Drosophila melanogaster: one gene and its partners. The protein of the gene in region 2 interacts with the protein of the main gene of each other region in a pairwise test. Each region holds a gene or a part of one and is shown on either strand. Other genes may lie near its edges. The genes, in order: Vha36-1, CG14818, CG10681 and CG15468.

What was found.
Region 1: the proteins of CG14818 (region 2) and Vha36-1 interact in binary tests that used the Drosophila melanogaster proteins (3 or more experiments, as listed by UniProt).
Region 3: the proteins of CG14818 (region 2) and CG10681 interact in binary tests that used the Drosophila melanogaster proteins (3 or more experiments, as listed by UniProt).
Region 4: the proteins of CG14818 (region 2) and CG15468 interact in a two-hybrid assay, tested with the Drosophila melanogaster proteins (2 studies listed by BioGRID).

The regions. Positions count from the first base shown.
Region 1 is NT_033778.4:15,538,178-15,543,918, forward strand, and holds Vha36-1 (vacuolar H[+] ATPase 36kD subunit 1), read left to right. Parts: upstream 1-3,257; 5' UTR 3,258-3,359; coding exon 3,360-4,100; 3' UTR 4,101-4,321; downstream 4,322-5,741. Other genes in the region: CG30467 (uncharacterized protein), read left to right, coding at 137-1,342, 1,401-1,760; CG8187 (uncharacterized protein), read right to left, coding at 1,853-2,226, 2,280-2,463, 2,523-3,095; eIF2Bgamma (eukaryotic translation initiation factor 2B subunit gamma), read left to right, coding at 4,577-4,727, 4,781-5,289, 5,345-5,485, 5,579-5,741. UniProt on the Drosophila melanogaster protein: Subunit of the V1 complex of vacuolar(H+)-ATPase (V-ATPase), a multisubunit enzyme composed of a peripheral complex (V1) that hydrolyzes ATP and a membrane integral complex (V0) that translocates protons.
Region 2 is NC_004354.4:1,878,519-1,883,686, forward strand, and holds CG14818 (uncharacterized protein), read right to left. Parts: upstream 1,257-5,168; 5' UTR 1,138-1,256; intron 1,063-1,137; exon of another isoform or gene 1,041-1,062; 5' UTR 973-1,040; coding exon 894-972; intron 833-893; coding exon 621-832; 3' UTR 501-620; downstream 1-500. Other genes in the region: CG14805 (uncharacterized protein), read left to right, coding at 1-486; Coa8 (cytochrome c oxidase assembly factor 8), read left to right, coding at 2,055-2,105, 2,165-2,428, 2,502-2,717; trr (trithorax-related), read right to left, coding at 3,638-3,730, 3,801-3,983, 4,038-4,167, 4,224-4,819, 4,899-5,168.
Region 3 is NT_037436.4:12,498,785-12,504,275, forward strand, and holds CG10681 (uncharacterized protein), read left to right. Parts: upstream 1-2,728; 5' UTR 2,729-2,934; exon of another isoform or gene 2,935-2,938; intron 2,939-2,990; 5' UTR 2,991-2,996; coding exon 2,997-3,163; intron 3,164-3,219; coding exon 3,220-3,691; 3' UTR 3,692-3,840; downstream 3,841-5,491. Other genes in the region: CG10638 (uncharacterized protein), read right to left, coding at 1-480, 537-704, 2,381-2,452; CG10646 (uncharacterized protein), read right to left, coding at 3,841-4,821, 4,873-5,043.
Region 4 is NC_004354.4:4,958,633-4,964,661, forward strand, and holds CG15468 (uncharacterized protein), read right to left. Parts: upstream 2,497-6,029; 5' UTR 2,446-2,496; coding exon 1,405-2,445; 3' UTR 1,297-1,404; downstream 1-1,296.

The DNA of each region.
Region 1 (5,741 bases), on a different chromosome or scaffold from region 2:
AAAGAACCAACGGACCCACTGACAGCGTCTAAAAAAAAAGATCTTGTCCAAAATATATTGATTAGTACCACTGCCATTCTGCATTCTGCCAAACGAACCCGTTAAACAGTTTGCCCAGACCCGGATCCAGATCGAAATGCCCAAGGAAGAAGCGGAGCCATCGGCGAGTGGTCTTGCGGTGGCCGCCAAGCAAAACGATGTGCCATCCGCGGAAAACTCGAATCACAAGGAAAGCGACGCATACGCCTCCGCCTCTGCCAGCGCCAGTAGCGCCTCGACCACGCCCCCACCCGCCCAGGAAGACGCCGAGGAGGCGGAGCTGCTGGAGCGTATGCGCGGCGATGCAGTCGGCAACACCATGTACAGCAGTCGATTCATCCTGAAAACGGTGATGAGGGTGGGAGAATTACTGCGGCATTCAACACTGGATCAGCAGCTGGAGGATGACCTGTGCAAAGTGTGGGACATGTCGGTGTCCCCCGAAGTGGTCACACTGCTGCTGGAGAACGGAGCCATTGATCCGATCATGTACACCCTGGTGGCGGGCTGTGAAGATGTGCGGCTCTACGAGATTCTTATCGGACTGCTGGGCAATATGTGCGCCCAGGTGGAGTGCGCAGAGATATTGGCCTGTGACCGCTACACGTTGGAAACCCTGTTCAAGATGACATACTGCATGGACACCGCCATGTTGATACAGCTGATGCGACTCTTTCAGTACATCATGGCCCATGTGCTTAGCGGCAAGGAGAAGTTCGCTGTGAACTGGTACATCTGCTTTGCTGCCTTTGAGAACTCCGCGCAGAACCTGGGCAGGATATTGCAACTGTCCGTTAGCGATGAACTGCTAGTAGCTGCACTGAAGGCCACAAATGCTGTGCTGGCCAGTTGCGCCTTGGTGGAGGAGGAAAACGCAAACTCCACGTTGAATCTAAAGCCTTTTGCGGAGGTCTTTCTAGTGCCAGAACTCTGCGAGGGGGTCAATAGCGCGTTTTTGCGACTCATGCGCGATGATCAGACAAAATTGACCGACGAGGAAGCTGGCGAGGACAACGAAGATGCAGAAGTGCCAGCGGCCCACGACAGTGATGAAGATGCCGACGTCGGTTACGACTCGTGCGGACCAAAAATAACCTGTGATGTGGAGATCATACAAACCTACCTCAATATATGCACCATTCTGGTCCAACTGCCAGAGGCGCAGGCCTCCATGGATGTGTATGCACCCAGTATAGTCAGTTGTCTAGCGCGAATACTGCAGTTTTTGCAGCAGCCTCTGCAACTCATTCCATTAGGCGAACGCCAGGAGGAGTATCTCGAGGATCTGGCGCACATTTGGAGTGTAAGTTTGGAAAAGATACTTAATATTCGACGTTCTATTTAAATATTTATTTTTGCAGCGCCTGAAGTACTTCTATCACAAGGAGGCCTTCTTAAATCTTTTGGAATTGTGGTATAGACTTAAACAGCACATTGACAACTACACGGGGGGAAGTGATCCCGACGCCAATGAGTTCGAAGAGGACGAAGAGGAGGAGGATGACGCTCCAAAGGAGCAGTATGTGGAGAACGCCTTGAAGTTGCTGCGCCTGTTGGCATGTATGGTGATAAAAGCGGAAAACTCGGATCTCCAAGAGATTGGCGATGAAAAGGTGCAACTGTTTGTGTCTGCACTCAAAGCCGGAAAGGAAGAAGCCATTTTCTCAAGGGCACTTGAATGCTTAAAGGATAAAGTGGCTAAGGAGTCGGGCCAAGCCTAAACAACATGCCTCCATGATGGATAAAGCAAAAATGACTGAGATTGTAGCTTGCAGCACAATATATTCTTAACTTAGTTAGTCTCTGTCTTTACCTAAGGTAAATCGTCCAAGGTGCCGGTAGCCTTCAACTTATTACGCATCATATCGCTCCATGACTGTTTTCCCAGGCGCACGCCCTTGTCGCCTGTGCTGCTTACTTCCAGTCGATTTGTATTTGGATTGCTTAGCACGAATTTGTTCTTGCTCTCGTTGAGAGCATGGGCTACATGCTCCAGTTCGTTTTCCAATTTCACTTCGGGGGCTGTTACCTCGATGTGAAGATTCTGCTCTATGGCTTGGGAAATGTGTATGATAGCCTCTTCTAATAAGTTCTCGGCGTCGATTTTGTTGCTCCCCACTAGCTCAGAGAGTTGGACATTTAAATTTCCTCCTTTGGTAGTTATTTGAATATTGCCATGTACTCCAGCTGAAATTGAAAGTTTTTAGCATGATGGTGTTATTCTTCGTTGTTTCGCATACTCATATTGAGATCCGACGACTGATGGACGTGCACTTCGCTGCTTTTGTGGACATTCTTGAGCTCCAGACGCCCAGTTTGTGTCTGAAACTTTGACTTTTCCACATAACAACAATCGGTTACAATACTGCCAGCTTTGGTGGAACAATTCAAGCTGTCTCCTTGCAACTTATCCATCGCAATGTTCTAAAAAAGAAATATAAAGGTTAATAATAAGATCAGATTGATAGTAAATTTTTTCTCACCCCATTTTGTGACTCTATTTGGGTAATCTTGCCCAGCAATGTGCCCTGGCAATTGATGTTGCCATTTTCACTGTACAAGTTTATATGGGTGGCCTTGATATTTTTGGTAAGGATGCCTTCCTTTGCTTTGACTTGCAGCAGTTCACTCTGTATGCCTTCCACTCGCACACTACCTTTTGCGTCCACAGAGACATCGGAACGCACAGGTATTTGCAGATGGCATTCAAGCTTTGAGGGCTGCTCCGCCAGTTGTTTAACCACCACATTGACCACCTTGTCCTCATCGGTTACCTTCACATCGAGAGAGACATTCGAGTTCTTGACATGGCCGCCAACCAGTTGGGCGATAAACACATCCCCGCTGGTATACTGATGCACATCCGCGGGCTGGATGCGCAGGAAAACATCGGACTTCACGTTGATCCTGGCAAAGGGGTTTACATAATGCAGGATCTCCTGATGGACCATCCGCATGCTCACGGCCATGGCTGGTTTGATGTGGGCTCGCGACTTGTTCGCGTATTGGCGTAGATGGTTGTTTAAATGTGTCAACCACACGCGTTGCAGAAGCATTATAAATCCAATAAAGAAATGGAATTTATTAGATTTGTTTACTTTTAAATGCAAAATCAGCTGTGGCTGCGTATTTTGCAGTACTGTATCTAAGCGCACTACCCAGCACCAACTGGTTATCGATTGGCTACGGGCAGTAGCCAACACTGTCATCCGTCATTTTCCAGTTGGAGTTTTTCAGTGTTCTGCGACGGTTGCAGTTTTCTTGATACGCAGTTGAAAATTGTTTAGTCCAGCCAATTACCATCCGAAAAAAACAGCAAAATGTCCGGAAAAGATAGGCTACCGATTTTCCCGTCCCGTGGTGCCCAGATGTTGATGAAGGCCCGTCTGGCTGGAGCCCAGAAAGGTCACGGTCTGCTCAAGAAGAAGGCGGATGCCCTGCAGATGCGATTCCGTTTGATTCTGGGCAAGATCATCGAGACCAAGACCCTGATGGGTGATGTTATGAAAGAGGCAGCCTTCTCGCTGGCGGAGGCCAAATTCACGTCTGGCGACATCAACCAAGTGGTGCTGCAAAACGTGACCAAGGCCCAGATCAAGATCCGCACCAAGAAGGACAACGTGGCTGGTGTCACTCTGCCCGTTTTCGAGTCCTACCAGGACGGATCCGACACCTACGAACTGGCCGGTCTAGCCCGTGGTGGTCAGCAGCTGGCCAAGCTGAAGAAGAACTACCAAAGCGCCGTTAAACTGCTCGTGGAGCTGGCCTCGCTGCAGACCTCATTCGTCACCCTGGACGAGGTGATCAAGATCACCAACCGTCGTGTGAACGCCATTGAGCATGTGATCATCCCCCGAATCGATAGGACTTTGGCCTACATCATCTCGGAGCTGGACGAGCTCGAGCGTGAGGAGTTCTACCGACTGAAGAAGATCCAGGACAAGAAGCGCGAGGCACGCATCAAGGCCGACGCCAAGAAGGCGGAGTTGCTGCAGCAGGGCATCGATGTGCGCCAGCAGGCCAATATCCTGGATGAGGGCGATGACGACGTGCTGTTCTAAGTATTACCTTGGATGTGTTTATTCCAGCAATATTATTGTTAAACTATTTTCTGTTCTGTATCCGTTTCCATATTGTAATTCGCAAAGGGCAAGCCACAAACTTAATTGTACCTATGTAGCAAAAGTGTGTAGACTATTCCAATAAGCAGAAAAGTATGTATTCCATTTTTGTAGTGTAGTGTAAGCTGCGCAAATCATGCATTAAAGTCTTGTTGTATCATACGATGTGCATTCTGTGTAATAATTAAGTGGAAAAAGGGAATTTTCATTGCAAAAAGGGTCATCTGACTTGTTTTATACAATAGCAAAAGCAACAAAAACAATTGCACAGTCACATGACAGCAAACATATGTCTGATTGGAAGCAGTGTTGGACAGCGCTCGTAGGTGTTTCGCTTGCATTGGATCAGCTGTTTGCGTGGCTCTTTTTGTGCTTGCACGCTTTTTAGCCGAAATTATTTATATTTTTGTGAAACAATGACCGAGTTCCAGGCCGTAGTTTTTGCCGCTGGGCGTGGCACTCGTCTACCCGAGGTCTTGGGGGATGCCCCCAAATGCCTGCTGCCGGTGGGTCCATATCCTCTGATTTGGTATCCCTTAAATCTGCTGCAACAACACAACTTTACAGGTAATTCGGATAGTCTGAATTAAAAACCTGGATTTAATTGAAAAATATTTCAGAGGTCATTGTTGTGGTACTGGAGCAAGAAAAACTAGAGATCCAATCTGCTCTGGAAAACACTCCCTTAAAGCTGAGACTGGACTATGCCACGATTCCTAGTGACGGGGATTTCGGAACTGCCGACAGTCTGCGCTACATATACGATAAGATCAAGTCGGACTTTCTGGTGGTCAGCTGCGACCTGGTCAGCAATGTCAGCCTATATCCGCTGATCAACAAGTTTCGGGAACATGATGCCGCCCTTGCAATGCTCCTATTTCCCAGCGGATTTGAGTCGGACGTTGTTATGCCCGGTCCCAAAAGCAAGCACAAACCGGAAAGGGATTTGATTGGCATCCATGCGGCCACTCAGAGATTGGCTTTCGTATCCGCCGCCAGTGACTGCGAGGAAACACTCAACATCCAGCGACATCTGCTCAAGAACCGCGGAAGGTTGGATGTATACAGCCGACTGGTGGATGCTCATGTTTATGTGCTGAAAAAATGGGTTATCGATTATCTACGAAGGGTTAGTTTTGATATGACCTTATAGTAAATTGTTTTCTAATATTCAATCTTTGCAGAAGGAAAATATATCAACCTTTAAGGGCGAATTTCTGCCGCATTTGATAAAGAAGCAGCACTCAAAACGACCTCCTAAAACGGTGCAGGACACCACATCCGAAGTGGGCGTGGTCACCAAGAATGAGGATCATGTTTTGCATGTGAGTTACTACTTGGTATTAACAGGTTACCTTTAGTACCCGTATACCCGTATTGAATATCATATAAAATCCTATTATGTCTTTAACTTTCAGTATGTAGGCCACACCATTCTGGACCAGAAGATCACGCAGACTTCACTGTTTAACCAATCTCTATCCCAATCCCCCTATCATGGCGATATTGTGCGTTGCTATGGCATTCAGGCGCCCAGAGATGCCATAGGTGTGCGGGTAAACAACACTTTGAGCTTCTTGG
Region 2 (5,168 bases):
CTAAAGCGAATGATTAGTCCGTGGGATGAGAATGACTGTATCGAGCTCTTCGATCCGGACTACTCCGGGGGACGCAAGACACCGGAGCTGGACTACACCCAAAGTCATCCGGGTACGGATGAGGAGATAATACTCAAACTTATAGCGTCCATGAGTTCGGGAAAGAACGAGGACGACGAAGGAATTGAGGCGGAAACCAAAGCTACAGATGTCGAGGATTCCGAGGTCGAAGAAGAAGAACCTGAATCCGAGCCAATGGAAACCGCCTCCAAGGAAGCTGAGTCCGAAAAATCGTATGCAGAATATCAGCCAGACTCAGCACAGACAAGCGACGAAAGAGTGCAAGAGCTGCAGGCCGAGAATGCGCGCCTCAAAGCGCAGTCAATGCGCTTGTTCCAGATAGCTTTCAAGTATATTACTAGCGATACCAATGGCCAGGCTGAAATCACAGAGAAGACAAAGCGCAAGAAAGCGCGGAAGACATAGTGAACCTTAAGCTTGCTTTCAATTACGTTTACTTAGGACTTAGGACAAAAATACATGATAATAGAAAAAAAACAGCACTGATTGTGCCTAAAAACGATTTGGATGAACAAAACAATAACTTCTCGTAGAGGGATCTACTTGGGTGCCGCTTCGCTGCCCGCCTGCCCGTCCATGTTGTCATCTCCCGATTCGGGAGCGTTGTCATTTTCCTCGGCAATCAGGCGACGGATCTCTCGGTTGGAGTTCAGCAGCTCCCGTAGTTGGGACATAATGTCGTCTGTGCGCTGCTCCACGGCGTCCAGGGCACAGCTGAGAGCGTCCAGACTGTTGTTCACGTCCTCCATCTCTGTAGGGGTCATTCCATTAGAGCCAATCCCGAGCAGAAACGGGGCGCTGTCAAAACTCACCTTGGAGGTCCGCCTCCTGGACATTGGTGTTGCCAGAGTCGCCGGACGACGAGGGATCATGATTGTTTTTGGGTGACATTTTCCCTGGAATTTTCCCCGGAGTTTTTCCGTTTGTTTTTTCCAGTTGGATTTATTGTCACGGGATAGCTATAAACGATAGAGGTGGTTAGAAGAGAACGATAGGTCTCAGTTCAAATACGATATAAAAAAAAAAACTTAATAGGGGAATTCAGTACATACGTACGTTTTTGTAATTACGAAAACACTTTTTAGCTCAAAACACTAGGCGAACATAATCCACTGCAAAAGTCCAAAGCTAAGTTTCCACTTAGTTTTTAGGGATGTGCCCGTGCCTCGTTTTATTTTTACGTACCAATGGAATAGCATGGGAAATTTTGGCTTATTCGCATATGTCGTGCCTAATTCGTGACACGAACAATGAAACAAATGGTTTACGTATCTCTAGGCGTTGACTGGACTTAATCGAACGGTTCTTTCCCATAGTGCTTAATGTTGATTGGCCAGAGTTGACCCCTTCTGACAATGAACGGCTGTTTAATTTCTCAGAGCGATCAGCGGTCGTACTCCAACGTTTTCTGTTCGCCTGGTGTCTACAGTCGATAATCTTGCCCATTTTGACCGAAATAATTTTGAAGCATCGAATTGCGACAGTAGATTTCTTGTTGCAATCATGAGGCGAGCATAATAAACAGAAAGTGTACTAGCCTCTGTTTCTACGTTGTTTTTAGAGATGTGCATGTATATCGTTTTATTTTCACAACGCAAGCAAATTACTAGGGATTTTGGTATTTGCTCGAGCATGACGTGCCGATTGCGTGTCACGAACAGGGAAACAAGAGGGGTTCACATCTCTTCTGATACTCTTGCTTAAGCTTTGGTCTAACTGTTCACAAGGCTGCATTCCTATTGGTTCAATTGCGACTGGAAACATGCAATATGCGACCATTTTGGAAAAAGAAACTGTTTCTTGATTTTGTCGACATGTATCAGCTGGCTGGCTACTGGCTACTGGTTTCTGAACTCCAGATATTCAGTCGAGAATCGCATGCGAATGCCCGTAATATTTGCTGGCATCAATATTTAATCTGTTGCCTAGCGTGACAGTCGGCCACACTGCACCTCACATAACATAACCGAAAAATGAACAAATGTTTTAGGTGCCAGCCCCGGATATCGCTTTTCCAGTTCAGCGTGAGTCCATGAGTGTGTTGCCTTATAGGATTCGGATTTTCAATTTCTTGTTTACACAGCTACCGCGGTGCTATGCCGCAGTGCAGCCGGGATGTCCACCGCCACAAGAAAAACCCGTCGTCGGTTTGCCACACAAGCCCGATCCCAAGACGGTGAAGTGCGACTATATAGGACCGCCAGACGCGCAATCAAACCTACGTCCGTACGTACGGCACTACGGCGATGAGGAGACGCGGCTGGCAAGAAGCCTGCGTCTTAAGCGGATCGAGGTGGAGGCATGGAACACGGACTTCTGGACAAAACACAATAAGCGCTTCTACGAGGTACAACCACGACCACTGTGCCATCTCTTTCTAGTCCGCTAATGTCGTCTCTTTCGAATTGGTTCGTTTACAGGAAAAGGAAGACTTCATCCGCCTGCACAAGGAAAGCGGAACCAGCGAAGTGTCCGCGGACCAGATGAGCCACTTCTACAAAGCGTTCCTCGACAAGAACTGGCGCATCCACATCATGTACAACATCTCCTGGTACCTGAAGAACTTCGACATACTCACCCTGGCTGCCGCAGTCCAGCTCCAGAGGCTTCTGGCGCTGGCCAAGCGAAGATCTTAGGTGCAATATCTGTCGTCCCCATTTCGTAATTTCCAGTTTGCCGTTTGCAATAAGTTGGAATAAAAGATCACGTGCGTAAAATGGTGGCATAAAATTTACTTAGCTACTATTTAAGGGGATGAAAAATACACGTTGTTCGGAGTTAGTTAATGTACTTAAAAGTAATCGCAAACTATTTAAATAAAATAAAATAGAAGTAGGTGTTCATATCCTTATCAGTGTATATATTCAAAGAAGGTTGCGCACGATACACGCAGCGAAAGAAGGATCGCTCCCCATGTAAAGTGGCCGAATATTGAAAGATAACCGCTACAATTATGATAATAATAATAATGGTAAACAGAGGGGAAGGCACACACGCATAAAGTCAAGTTTTGGGTTGGCCATCGGGGCGGTCAGTTTCCTCGCGATAATTGCAATGGTGGTAGTGATGAATGTGGAGATGGTGCTAAAACAAATAAAATTAGGTGCTCCAGCGACTGTGTGAGGAGAGGGGGTCCGAAATACATTACAGGGGTGGTCGTGTCCTAGCAGTAACATTTATATTCTTTCTATGTAGAAACGATAGCAATTATTCAATTTAAACTATGAAGACACTCTCCACTTTTGCACTTAAGAGCGATATAAAGGATACGAATTGGCTACAGTGGGCACATATACAAAACTTACAAGGTCATATGCTCTCCACGAGCATATCTGCATATAGCATATAAACTATATATATATAAATATATATATATATATATATATATATATATAAATGTACACGAACTATAATGCTTAGCGAATCTAGCTACTTGATCAGATACAAGTCCTGTTCCTGTTCCTGTCTCTACTCCTGTTCCTGTTCACTGGGAGCGACGTGCTCGCCGCCGCTTCTTGCGCTTCCTTTGGTCCTCCGCTAGAGGCTCCTCCCGACTCTAGTTCATCCACTTGCGACAGTTGGGCGCTCCACAGGCGCACGGTATCTTGTGCGACTCGTCCTCAATGTCGAACTTGTAGTCGTACGAGAGCTAAAGCACAGAATTTAAGAGATATTGTGAGTTAAGGTACAGGCGAAACACTTCTATTTGCGGGACCCACCTCCTCGCCGCGATAGATCTTCCGCTTGGCGAATATTATGATCCGCACGTCGCGATCGACCTCCACTATCTCGGTAACACAGTTGGGATTGCACGAATGGTTGATGTAGCGCGCCAACCCGCCGCTTAGAGTGGCGTCCACCACGCGGTCTTCATCCAGCCGGAACATGTAGATGCCACGGTTCTGGGGAATCAGAGATTAGTCAAAGTTACAAGAAAACATGGTCGCGAAACCCACCTTGGACTCGTACTGCTTCTCGCGTATCTCGGAGACCTCGGTGCGGATAACCTCGCCAATGTACTCGATTATCATGGTGTGCTTTTCAATGTCCCGAGCTGCATACAAGCCAAGACCCTGGATCTTAGATCTAGAAAATGAGAGCTTAAGTAATCAGTGGTTATTGACTAGGACCTAATGTCTCACCTCGCCAAGTAGACGTTGTTGCGCCACTCCTGCTTCATCTTTTTGTACTGGGAGCTCTTCGAATGCACGAACTGCTTGCTGTACGGGCAGGCCACTTCTCCGGCAATCGCAGCCGAGTTGGCCATCCGCTGCGTGCTGCAGCTGCCGGCCGTGCGTTGCGTATGCGGCTTCCTCCAGACGAGCAGCTGTCGTTGCTTGGGTTCCGTACGCGCCGCTCCAGACGGATTGATGGCTAGCGGGAACTCAAGAAGCGGGTTGCGACCGTACTTGAAGCGGTAGTCAGTGAGCGTCTCAATGCCCGGGAGGCTTTCCAGGATTCGCACAATGGCCGGTTCCGTTAGGCCAAATAGGTCCTCACCACTGATGTGCTGGGGAAAGAGCTGCAACCACTTGTGCACCTTACGCAGTCGCGTGATTGGCTGCAGAATCTGCTGCCAGACCGCCGAGGGCGAACTGCCCCGAAACTCGCGCTCCGGCTCCTTGTCGCCGGCGTCCTGCACCTGGATGCGAAACTCGGGCTTGCATCCGGCCTCTGCGATACTGCAAATGTATCGACACCTACGATTGGGTCGTCGCACGCACCAGTAGTAGCGACTCTATGGGGGAGGAAGAGGAACGGGATTTAAGATTGCTGTTCATAAACATGGCGGCCGACCGGCTGGTACTTGTACTTACCACCTTGTAGCCAATGGGGTAGATGTAGTGGGGTGTGTGGAAGGCCTCCAGCTGATGCGGCAGTAACTGACCCACGTTCAGGAACGTCATGTTGCCCACACGGAGCAGGTTGCTTAGCTCTGAATAGTGCATGACGGTGGCCACCTGACGGTTTTCATCCCGATCGACAAAAACTCTCCGGTGGACAACCAGGGAGCTCAGTTCATTATCTGCCACAGAGCCTCCTAATCCGGCGCCAGTCGTGGCGCCTGCTCCTGCACCCATCGTGAT
Region 3 (5,491 bases), on a different chromosome or scaffold from region 2:
ATATTTTTTGGCAATAACAGCCACCTCCGGCGAATAGATAAAGTCCGGCTTCTGAATATCCGGCTTGGGCTTTCCCAAAGGCGTGTAGCCCGTCAAGGTGACGTCGTTCTTCTTGCAGAAGGCTGTCAAAGCCTTCTGGTTGAGCGCAGGCGAGCACTCCACCTGGTTAGTGACGGGTTTGATCTCGCAGTTGGCCAAAACTCGTGCCAGCTGCTCGCTGTTGAAGTTGGATACTCCGATGCTGCGCACCAGGCCCAGTTTTACCAGCTTTTCCATGGCTTTGTACGTATCCAGATAGTCGACATCGCTCAGTTGGAGCACATCGTCCTCATTTTTGGGCAGCAGGGTGTTGTCATCTACATATTTGTAGCCCACTGGCATATGCATCAGATACAGATCGATATAGTCCAAGCCAAAATTGCTTAACTGCTTGCGGCAAATGCCCTCAACGCGCTCTGGATCGTGGAAAATGTTCCAAAGCTGCGCAAAAATATAATCTTATTGATAGATCTAGAACATATCATCATGGCATTTACCTTAGTGACCAAAAATATATCCTCTCGCTTGACCACACCTTCTGCGATCTTGTCCCGAATCGCCTTGCCCACTTCGGCCTCGTTTTGGTAGAAATAGGCCGTATCTATATGACGATAGCCCACATCAATCGCATGTTTCACAGCGGCTTCGCCTTCGTTGTCCTTCGACTGCAAATAGAGAATATCAAATTCATCATTAACCTTTCTCCTTTCTGACAGAATCAAATATGTGTTTTATAATGCGACTCTTGAGATCAGTATATTGTTATTTTCGACCACAGCAACACGTTCGTTTCGGCCAGGAAATTGTGAGCATATCGGAGAGCCGCGAATTGACAAATCGAAACAATATCCGAAATTATACAACTGATCAACGTCGCAAGGCACACGAAAGATTCGATAAACTTTGATAGAGACATTTAGAGAGATACAAATAATTATTTCCCCAGGTGAGCACTTAAAATGTTAATAGGATCATATCTAGCACAAAATATAGTATATTTATATATGATAACGATTGATATGATGACATTTTATAACATTGTAATATTGTACTAAAAAAAAACTAACGTAAAAACTAAACTATCTAACGAGATTCTATCTTATACATTTACATAGTTACACTTTTTTTCCGAACACTAAATATCTCTTGCTAGTACGGATAGTACTGATGATTCTTCGCTTTATCGAATTTCCAGATTCTGCGCCCTGTATTAAAGGTCTTCATTTGGAGCAACTCCTCCGGCGTTAGGTGGAAATCAAATATATCCAGATTCTCTACGAGATGGGCTCGCTGGGCAGCTTTTGGAATAGGTACCGTGCCAATATCGATCTGTAGATTTTTAGCCAATAAATATCTTTATCACTTTACAATTCTAAGGTCGTTTATACCAAGTATCTTAGGATGATTTGAGCTGGTGTCTTGCCGTATTTCGCTGCCAACGCCAGTAGCTTGGAATCAGTGTAGTAATCGGGCAGCGGATTGCAGGCTTTGGGACGCCCCAGTGGCGAATAGGCAACCACGGTGATATTGTGAAATTTACAGAGCTCAATTAATGGGACTTGCACCAATTCCGGATGACATTCTATTTGTAGGTTTGCCGGCTTGATTTGGCAGTTTTCCAGTAATCTCTTCAGCTGATTGGCATTAAAGTTGGACAATCCCAAGCTGCGCACCAGCCCCAGATGCACCAGTTGCTCCATACTTCTGTAGGTGTCCACATAGTCCACATCGCTATAAGTTCCAAAGATCAGTTTCTTTAAGCTTCTTGAATCTAAACTATGTATGTTTAGTTGTATCCCAAACTCACTTGGTCCTCAGCTGGCCATTCTCGTGGGGCATCAGATCTTCATCAGAGATGTAGTCCACGCCCACCGGCGAATGCATCAGATATAGATCTATATAGTCCACGCCCAGTAGCTTTAATTGCATATCACAGGCGTATTTCACCATCTTGGGTTCGTGGTATATGTCCCACAGCTAATTGGATATTGATTTTCGATCTATTTACATGTGCTGGTAACTATATATAACCCATCTGTACTATATCCTACCTTTGTGACCAGAAACACCTGTTCGCGTTTCAGTTTCTGGTCGCCAATAAGTTTAGCTAAAACCTTGCCTATAATGCCTTCATTCCTGTACAGATATGCGGTGTCTATATGCCGATAGCCCATTTCGAGGGCGTGGCACACGGCAGCCTCACAGCGAGACTTCTTTAACTACAGATAACATAATTAACTTTCAATTTCACAATTGCACTTAATTGGAATTGAATGGTAGAAATTTCCATAAACAATTTCTGCCTGCTGATTTATTAGCATCGCCGATGATAAGGACTTACATTGTAGGTTCCTAGGCCCAGAATTGGCATCTCGTAGCCATTGTTTAGCTTAACAGTCGGAGCGAGCTTCATTTTGCACGTTTAAATCAAGAATAAATAAGGAAATTCAATCGCTTAATAAAAAAAAAGCCGGTGAGCATAGTGTGACCAAAACGGCTTTGCGTAAAAATACCCAATGCCATTCTGCTAAGCTTTATTATTTAAATATTTTTAAGTGTTTAAATAGCTAAAGAAACTTTGATTTATATTAAATAGGAACAAATGTTGTCATAAAACAGTGTTAATTTTATGTTAAAAAGTAAAATGTTCAAATTTAATTACGGCAGTGCTTTTGCATTTTGGCAGCTTGCAGCACTGGTTTATAACTAGTACTTAAACAGCTGTTACGAAAATATCTTTTTTTTTAAGAAATCTAAACAAAAGAACTTTTAAAATAGATGGAAACATGAGATCCATTTGAAAACGTAAATAAAAATAGAAAAAACTAAAACTGCCAGCAAACGCACACAAAGCAGAGTTCAAGTTGTCGCAAAGAAACCTTGAGACCTTGAAAAGCAAGTAAACAAATCAATTTTTGTGTTCTCCCTTATTATAAACAAATAAATTCTAGGCTACAATGAGCCACTTGGGCCTTGCGGATGTGCACCAGTCCGAGGATGCCACTCCTGACCTGGAATCCTTCACTGGCTTCGGCAACTCCGCCGCCGAGGCCTTCATTCAAAGTCTCGCAGGAATGGTGAATCAGGGCGATGTGGAGACCATGATACGGGCTCAAAAGCAAATGTAAGCCATTTCATTTAACCAGAGATTATAATAAACATCCAAAATATATCCCACAGGCTGCAACGCTTTGAGAAAACCAACGAGATGCTGCTCAACTGCAATGCCTTATCGCAGAGTCGTTTGAAAAGTGCCAGCGAGGATTTCAAAAGACACGTGAAATGCCTGAGCGAAATGAAGAAGGATCTGGATTACATATTCCGCAAGATACGGATCATCAAGCAGAAGCTACAGTCGCAGTTTCCCGCCATTTACGCCGAAGTTCAGCCGCAGCGTAGCAGTTTGGCTGAGGAAGCCGAGGATGATACGGAAGCCCAGGCTAAAAAGACTGCAGAAACACCTGCTCCTGCTGCCGCAAAACCTGTCCTATCCACCAAGAAAAGTGCCGCCACCATAGAGTACGTGCAGATGGAGGAGGCAGTGGACAATGGCACTGTGGAGATCGAAAACGAGCTGATCAAGCGAGTTTGTTCCGTGGAAACTGCCAATCCCAATGATTCCTCCGACTGCACATCCGAGGATACAGGTTAAGCCTAATTAGCTTTAGTCCCTCGATATATTTATCTTCATATAATAACTTATTGGTTTAATATTTGTATAACCTGCTACTACATACAAGGACACAATTCGTTTAGTTAGATTTAAATGAAATATGCGTAATAATTTAAGAAACTAATGGCTTAAAATATAATCTGGTACTTGTACTGCTTGGGCACCTTTGAGATTATGACGCGACCATCGTAGCTGAGCGAAGCAAAGATCCACGGATCCACATTGCTCCACTCCGCGCAGTAAACGGAGTCCTCGTGCTGATCGAAGGTCTGCAGCAGACCATCTGGCAAGAGTTTGTGCCTCTCCTCGGCATCGGCACCACTGAAGTTGGACTCATCTAGTCCAGCCTGAACCTGCGTCTCCGAACTAACCGATCCCGCACACGTGAGCAGCACCTTGCAGTCACTGGAGCTGGAGAGGATCAGTTGGTCGTGGAATGTGTTGAAGCGAACGCACCAGACCCAATGCGAATGATCGGAGCGCTCGAAAACGGGAGCCTTGGGCATGCGACAGTCCCAGATCCTCAAGTAGCCATCGTCACCGCCGGTGACCAAATGGCACTGCTTGTTGGGATTGCAGTCCAGGTCACGGACCATTTGACCATGCGCATCGTTGATGCTCCAGGCACAATGCTGTGTATCCCGCACATCGTAGGCACTTAGATTGCCATCCTGGAGGGTGAGAAACTGGTGGCCCTGATGATGATGCGACCACTTGCCGCTGGTGAAATGCTGTGTGTGCTTTGCAGATCCACTGGATGAACCACTGGCCGGCACCTCGGCCACCACGCGAGTAGAGGACTCGGCCCGCTGCATCACAGCCACCTTGTTGTCCACCACACAGGCGAGTGTGTCCTGGTTGGGATGGAATTCGATGGTCTTCACACGTTCGCCCAGTGCTTCGGTATCCAGGACCTCAACCTGCTCCCACGGCAGGTACTCTGACTTCAGCTGCTCCGGATCGGGATTGAGATTCTCGGGCAGCGTAAACAGAGCCGCTTTGGTCAGCACTTGTGCTCCCTTTTGTACATTGTAGACGGAGGCCAGCAGGCGAGGATTACGCGGACAACTATTTAGTTTCCAAACTTCACCCAGGGCGTGCTCAAAGACCTGTTCAAAGTTGTATGTTTAGCTCATACTTTGATCATCCCAGATATTCACCTTTGATTGCACGGATCCCTGCTCCTCCTCGTACTGGATTAAGTGAACCTGATTGGTGGGCTTCAAGGAGTTGGTGGCTATGAAGAAGCACACATCGTTGCTCTCTCCGTACTGAGGTGTTAAAGCCCGCGCCTGCAGTTCGAGTCCGTAGATTAAGCTATTTTCATCCATTTTCCACGATTTACTCAATGTTTTGATTTCGCTGGATATCTAGGTACGCAACTTACGTACACTAAACGGCGTACCTAAAAGTGTTGGTAAGCATTTATCACAAGGTGGCAGCCCTCGATCATATTACAAAACAATATATAATTTATTTTAATAAAATTAAAATATTTACATATATAAAGAGGCTTAAATATATGTGATTTAATATATTAAGCTCAAAATATAAAATAAATAATATTGGTATTCAAAATCCATTGATATAATTTGGTTACACTTAACGTTATGCCTTTTAAACGTGTAATAATTATACATACTTGGAATAGTAAGCTAATTATAGTATTAAGCTTAATACGTTTATAATCTTTACTTACCTTTGAAACATTTTCCGTTATCTCTCGGCCAGTGTGACCGTTCGACCACGCCAAGAGAGCGTATCGACTCCCCCCAAAAA
Region 4 (6,029 bases), 3.1 Mb from region 2:
AAATTGCACTGGCAATTGCCACACGCTTCATTCCGCCCCCTCATTTCCCAATTCCGTACCCTTCCTTATTCAGCTCTCGAATGCCCCAATCCTTGCCAGCTCAGACATCACCCACTGCATTTGCCACATCTTAGATAAGTGCATTGTGCATTGCATGCAATTTGGTTGCATGTATTGCCGGGCACAGCCGCAACAGCAGCAACATGCAACAGCCAGACCCAGCAACTTTGCCGCGCTCTTGGTCTTGAACTTGTGAATTTGCTAGACAACAAGCCAGGAGAAGCAGCCACCACTGACAGCACCAACAGCTCCAACAGCAGCAACAGCAGCAACAACTGCCAGCAGCAATCAGCGGCAAGTGAATGAGCTTAAATTGTTCCAGCCACGGTGGGCCCAAAACTTCATTTGCTCGAGTAAAAATCATCATCACTATATATGTTAGTAAATCTAGTACTATTATATAGTTGTATGCATATCACTTTCATCAGTATATGGAATATATTTCTTATCCTGTTTGTCTTGTAGTAGTGCCCACTGTTCAATAGCTGCAGGGTAGTTGATTTTCGGTCGGTTTTGGTGGTGGCCATGATGATGGCTTCGCTTGCTGATTCTGCAAACCATCAGCCCATCGCCCCAACGCCCCCTCATCCCGGCCACTTCCCTCAGCCACTGGATGGCATGTTGCTGCCTCAACGCCCTCAGTACGCTATTATATAGTGGGTATTTATGTTTGTATGGTATGTGTATATGTTGCCGTTGTTGCTGCTGTCTGGTCGTCTGTGGAGCATCAAGGCACTGGGGCAGCGAGGCATCAAGTTCGCAATGGGCGACATGAGATGGCTAACACACACACACACACACACGCGTGTATCTGTATACAACAGCGAAAAGATAGAGCGAGTAGCAACCGCAGTTACTTTTGGCTACGACTGCATAGACAAGCCTCAATTAAGTTGCAATTGCAGTTGTTGCTGCTGTTGTTGCTGCTGCTGCGACTGCTGCTGCTGCTGCTGCTGCTTTGTTGCTGCCGGGGAAGCGTTGGCGGCATCGGAATTCCACTCTGGAGCTGCCCACGCGCGCGCTGCTCGGCTGCCTGTTTTGCTGATAAAGTCCGAAATGATGTACTACCCATGTGCTGGTGGCTCATTTTGTTTTTCTTTTCTTCATTCTTCATACTTCGTCTCTTTCGCTTTCCCATTTTCCACTCCGCCAGCCTGCTGCCTCCCACTAGCACTATTTTTTTCTTTTTTTTTTTATCCCAGCACAGGAGCGCACTTTTGCCCGCGTATTCGGTTTGCATTTTACATTTTTGTATTTATTTTTCTTTGCTCTTATTATAACTTAATGATTTTCCTATTTTATTTCCTAATGATAATGTGCTTTCTCTATGTGCCCTTGAAATTGTTATTTTGGATTATTGCTCCTTGGAACGGTGAACGTTTCGGTGGCATCAGTTAGCTCGGTTAGCTCAGTGTTGCCAGTTCCATCGGCGATTAGATTGGATTGACGCGGCGTGGTCGAGAATACGACTCCGAATCGTTGAGCCTTCATCTTGATCTGGTCCAGTCGCCCATCGATTTCGGAGAAAATTTCCTCGCTTAAAACCTTCAACTCGGCGATCTCGTAGCGAAAGTCGTTGATATGTCGAGCGATCAGGGCATGTCGTAGATATCGACGGCTATAGCGAAAGCCACTGGACATATTCGTTTTGGTCACGAGCAGGGCCATCTTTTTGGTAAGCTTGACGGCGGCCAAGGAGCGATGTCTCTGCTGGCAGTTGCTTAGATCGTTGGCGCACTCCTCAGTCCAGGCCAAGTGGACGCGGTTCTGTCCCCGAATATCGGCAATTCGTCGCTCTAGACACGTCCACGTTTCGCCCAAACTGCGCAACATATTCCGGAGGGCATCGTAGCGGCACAGGAGTTCGGTTAGTTGGCACTGAATGTGATGCTGGGCACGTTGAATGCACCGTATCTCCGATTGCTTCGCATTCAGGCCACTGCAGGAGATCGGATCCTCTGGCATTACCGATGGTTGGCTAATATCCTCCAATTGCTGATTCCTGCGGAGTTGACTACGCAATATATCGATTCTTTTCAATATCTCGTCCAGACCCTGAATGGTAATCAGGGTTTTTGTCTCCTCATCGGTGGTTATGCCCTCCTCGCCCATTCCGCATGGCAGTATTTCCATCTCCTCCTCCTGTGAGTCGGTTTCCTCATCATCTGGTACTCGATCCAAGGAAGGGCCTAACCTCTGATAGCCTGGCGAAATCATCTGCTCTCCTCCCAACTGACATTTGGTGGTCGTTCGCGCTATGATATCGATGTCCGCCAGATTCGCCTTGTGACAGTCGCCCAGATCGCGCAGCAGATGAAAATCCTCGTCGAGCGGATAATCCCTTGGTTCGCCATCATTGGTAGGTATCATCTTCACCTTATCCATTTTGTTTTTATTAATTTTTTTTTTTAACAAAGTGTAGATTTAAGTCTGGGTGTGTGTGCAATATGTGAGCGTTAAGGTAAAAAAAGCATAGCCCACTTAAATTGGGTTTTTCAAACTCTTAGTGATTCCTTAGTGATTTTAAAAACCACTCCAAACCGCTCCTGTCTTTTTGGCCCGGCGCTGATAAGAAAATTTATGGCTGCTCAGTTGCTCTGGCGGCATAATTGCGCACCCACATCCAAATCCGCAGAAACATCCACTCCACTCCACATGGAGTCCGGCAGTAGAAAACGAAAGAAAAAAAAACAAAAAGAAACAACGATGAGTAGGAAAAAACAAAAGAAAAGCAGAGAGCTGTGGGCCAGAGGCTTGTGGGCTGGCTTTTGGCGTGTGGCTTCAGCGGCAATTCTTCTAGTCAGCCCTCGCCTCCTTTCTTACCACGCTAGCCACCATTACCATTGAGCCACCATCAACTGCCGGCAGTTGACTTTGTTTACCCGCAAGTTGTAATTTTCTGCGAAAACCGTCAGCCGCAGAATTGCTTTTCTCCATCTCCATCTCACAAAGCTCAGTCTTCTGTCTCTGATAAATCCCGCTTCTGTCGTCTGTCTTCCACTCAGTCACCCCTGTTCGCCGCTTTTCCTTCTGGGCTCCTATTCCATGCTGCCCCTTTTCTTCAATTGCAATTGGTGCCCCCGACCGTGGTCTTGCGGTGATCTTTCTTCTGGGCCCTGCCTTGCTAATTGCTTGCCAGAGATTCGGGCCTCTACTGCATAGGACATCAGCCCAAAAACCATTCGAGGCAGTGAACAAAATTGAAGTAGCAAATCTTCTTCAGAAATTAGAGATATGATTCAAAATTTATAGGCCAGGCTCTATATAATCTTGCATTATTATATAAACGAACAATTGCTGAGTTATTTTTGTATGTCAGAGAAATATCCGAATATTGCGTTCAGTGTTTTTTCTTTTTCCACGCAACATCAGCGATTGACAGGCTTTTAGTCAACTTTGCTATTCCATTTGGAGCCATCTCACCATCGTGGCATCTGCTGAATGCTGAATTGTCACATGTGGAATTTCGCAGGTCTCTAAGAAACGTTTAGGCATGTGAGCTGCGCGATAGGATGGATACGAAGGCCCAAGAATGGGGTCAGGTTAAACAAATATTTGATGGAGCCTGGGCAGGCATTTAAATAACATGAAATATGCACTGAACTAGCTGCACATAGCTGCAAGAAATGAGACTGAGATGAGTCCAAAATAATTCCTGCAAGAAATGCGACTGAGATGAGTCCAAAATAATTCCTGCAAGAAATGAGACTGAGATGAGTCCAAAATAATTCCCACAACTTACTAATACTAATAATGTGCTTTATTTTATTTGCATTTCATGGGTGCAAAACAAAAAAAACAAAAAAAACGAATGAATTAAGAGGACTGGCGGCGTCGAGAACTATACCGCTAAGATGCCTAATTGCAACCAAGACGAGTAATGACCGATGATGGCCATAAAAGTTCACATGATCTGCTGATCTCCCGGAGGCCTTGGTCATGCAGGAAGTTCAAGTGCGCGAGAATGGGTATACGAACAAGGGGAACGGAGTAAACCCCCCCCCAGACATCCAGACATTCAGACATTCATATATTCCGACTTGAGTTGCCCCAAGTTGACTTGACTCTCAACCTGGCGCGGTCAAATCTTCGCAGCTCCGCAGCTTCGGTAGCGAAAATCAGCAGCACCAGCAGAAGACTCCGAAGAAGATAAGCGATCATAAAATAAAAATAATAGTAATAATAATAATAATGAAAAGCAACAAAAAAAAAAAAACAGAAAGAGAAACAACTGGGAGAAAACGAGTAGCGAATAATGCAATATACATTAGATATAGAACAAGTCTATAGAAAATTACGATTTATGTAACAAGTTGAGGAATTCAAGTGCATTTATTTCCGCATCTGGAACTAAGTGGAGAAGCCAGCGCATAAAAAATAATGCCAAACACCGACTGGATCGACATGGTGATATCCTGTAGAAAGAGTTTTTCATTCGCAGATTTCCAAGCCAAACCATCCACAAGTGCGTTTGTTTTGCGCTGAAGTATTAGTTTACATATTTGGTTTATTTCAACGGATAAAGTTACCATCTTGTCGAATATACTCTTTATGGCTTGCAAATAAAAAGCAGCAACACCGATCAAAAGCAAAGCAAAGAAAGCGATTTTCCGATGTGCTGTGCGTTGGGGGAGTGGGGAACCAGTGGGGTCTAGGATCAGATTGGATAGGATGGCATCGGATCGGCTCGGATCGGATTGGTGCAGTGCATCCATCAGAGCAGCGCCATGAGTCAGTCAGTCAGTCAGCCATTCAGTTAGTCAGTCAGTCAGTCAGTCAGTCAGTTAGTCAGTTAGTTAGTTCGTCAGTCAGTTATTAAATGTGACCATAAGAAATAGAAACAACACCAGACACAGGCGGATGATAAGAGGGCAGTTACGGGGAGTTATTACATAACAGCGGGCACAATTGCGAATGGGAAAAAAAAATAAGGAACGATGGAAGATGAGATGGCAAAAGAGGTGGACTTGTAAAAATCATAGCGCTGCTAAAGCGTAAAGGCAAAGAATTATAATTTTCCAATCAACTGATAAATTTTTAATGATGCGACGGGCCAGAGAACTTGAGGTTGCGATGGGATGGTATGGTATGGTATGGTATGGGTTGGTATGGGATCTCTAATATGTTGTCCAAAGTGCATGCTGGAATCCCACTGCGTTCTGCTGATCATGATCATTGCCAGCTGGTAATGATCATGGTATAGACGTTTGGACATGTGTTAGAGACATTCCCATAGGTGTGATTGCCGGCGCGCAAGAACAAGAAAGACACCAAATTACTGTTACCTAGACGTCCACATGGGCGGGTGGCCAGTCGCCGGGTGTGGGGTAAAGGGGGAAGAGGGGGGGGGGGTGTGGATGGCAAGGGGCATGGGGCACTAAGCTGGAAAATCGCTGGAAAAAGAGGCGCCGCAAATTCACTTGGTGACGAGTGACTAGTGACTCCGCAGTCGCCATTGGCACTGGTCCAAAAAGTGGTTTCGTGATCGATGCGGGCTTTTGATGCCCCTGACTACCAGCTTGATTGCCACCACCACCAGCTGCCCCCCTTACCATTCCTCATGCCCACCTCCCCCCCACCACCCTTCTACTGGACATTTCCCATGCAAATATACCCCGCGTTTTCTAATGAAGTTGTCTATCTGCCGGCAATTTAAGCCGCGTCTTTAAACCTCTACCATTGGAAAAGTGCTCAATCAAGGAATATAGCATAGCGAAAAGCAAGTAAATCAATTTGTTGAAATTTTGTATGAGTTTTCTGTAAATAAAAAATTAATATTCTACAAGCCATTTTTGTCTAAAGCGCTAAAAGAATCAGTGTTCTGTGCAGCTAATTAACAACGCTAATAATTCCTATCAGTTTTTTGCAGAAAAAAAAAATTTTTTTTTTTTGCCAATTTTTGCATTTTTGATAAGGGGTAACATCATTAATTTTTGCGAAAAATGGACAAAATTTTACATTTCAAGGCT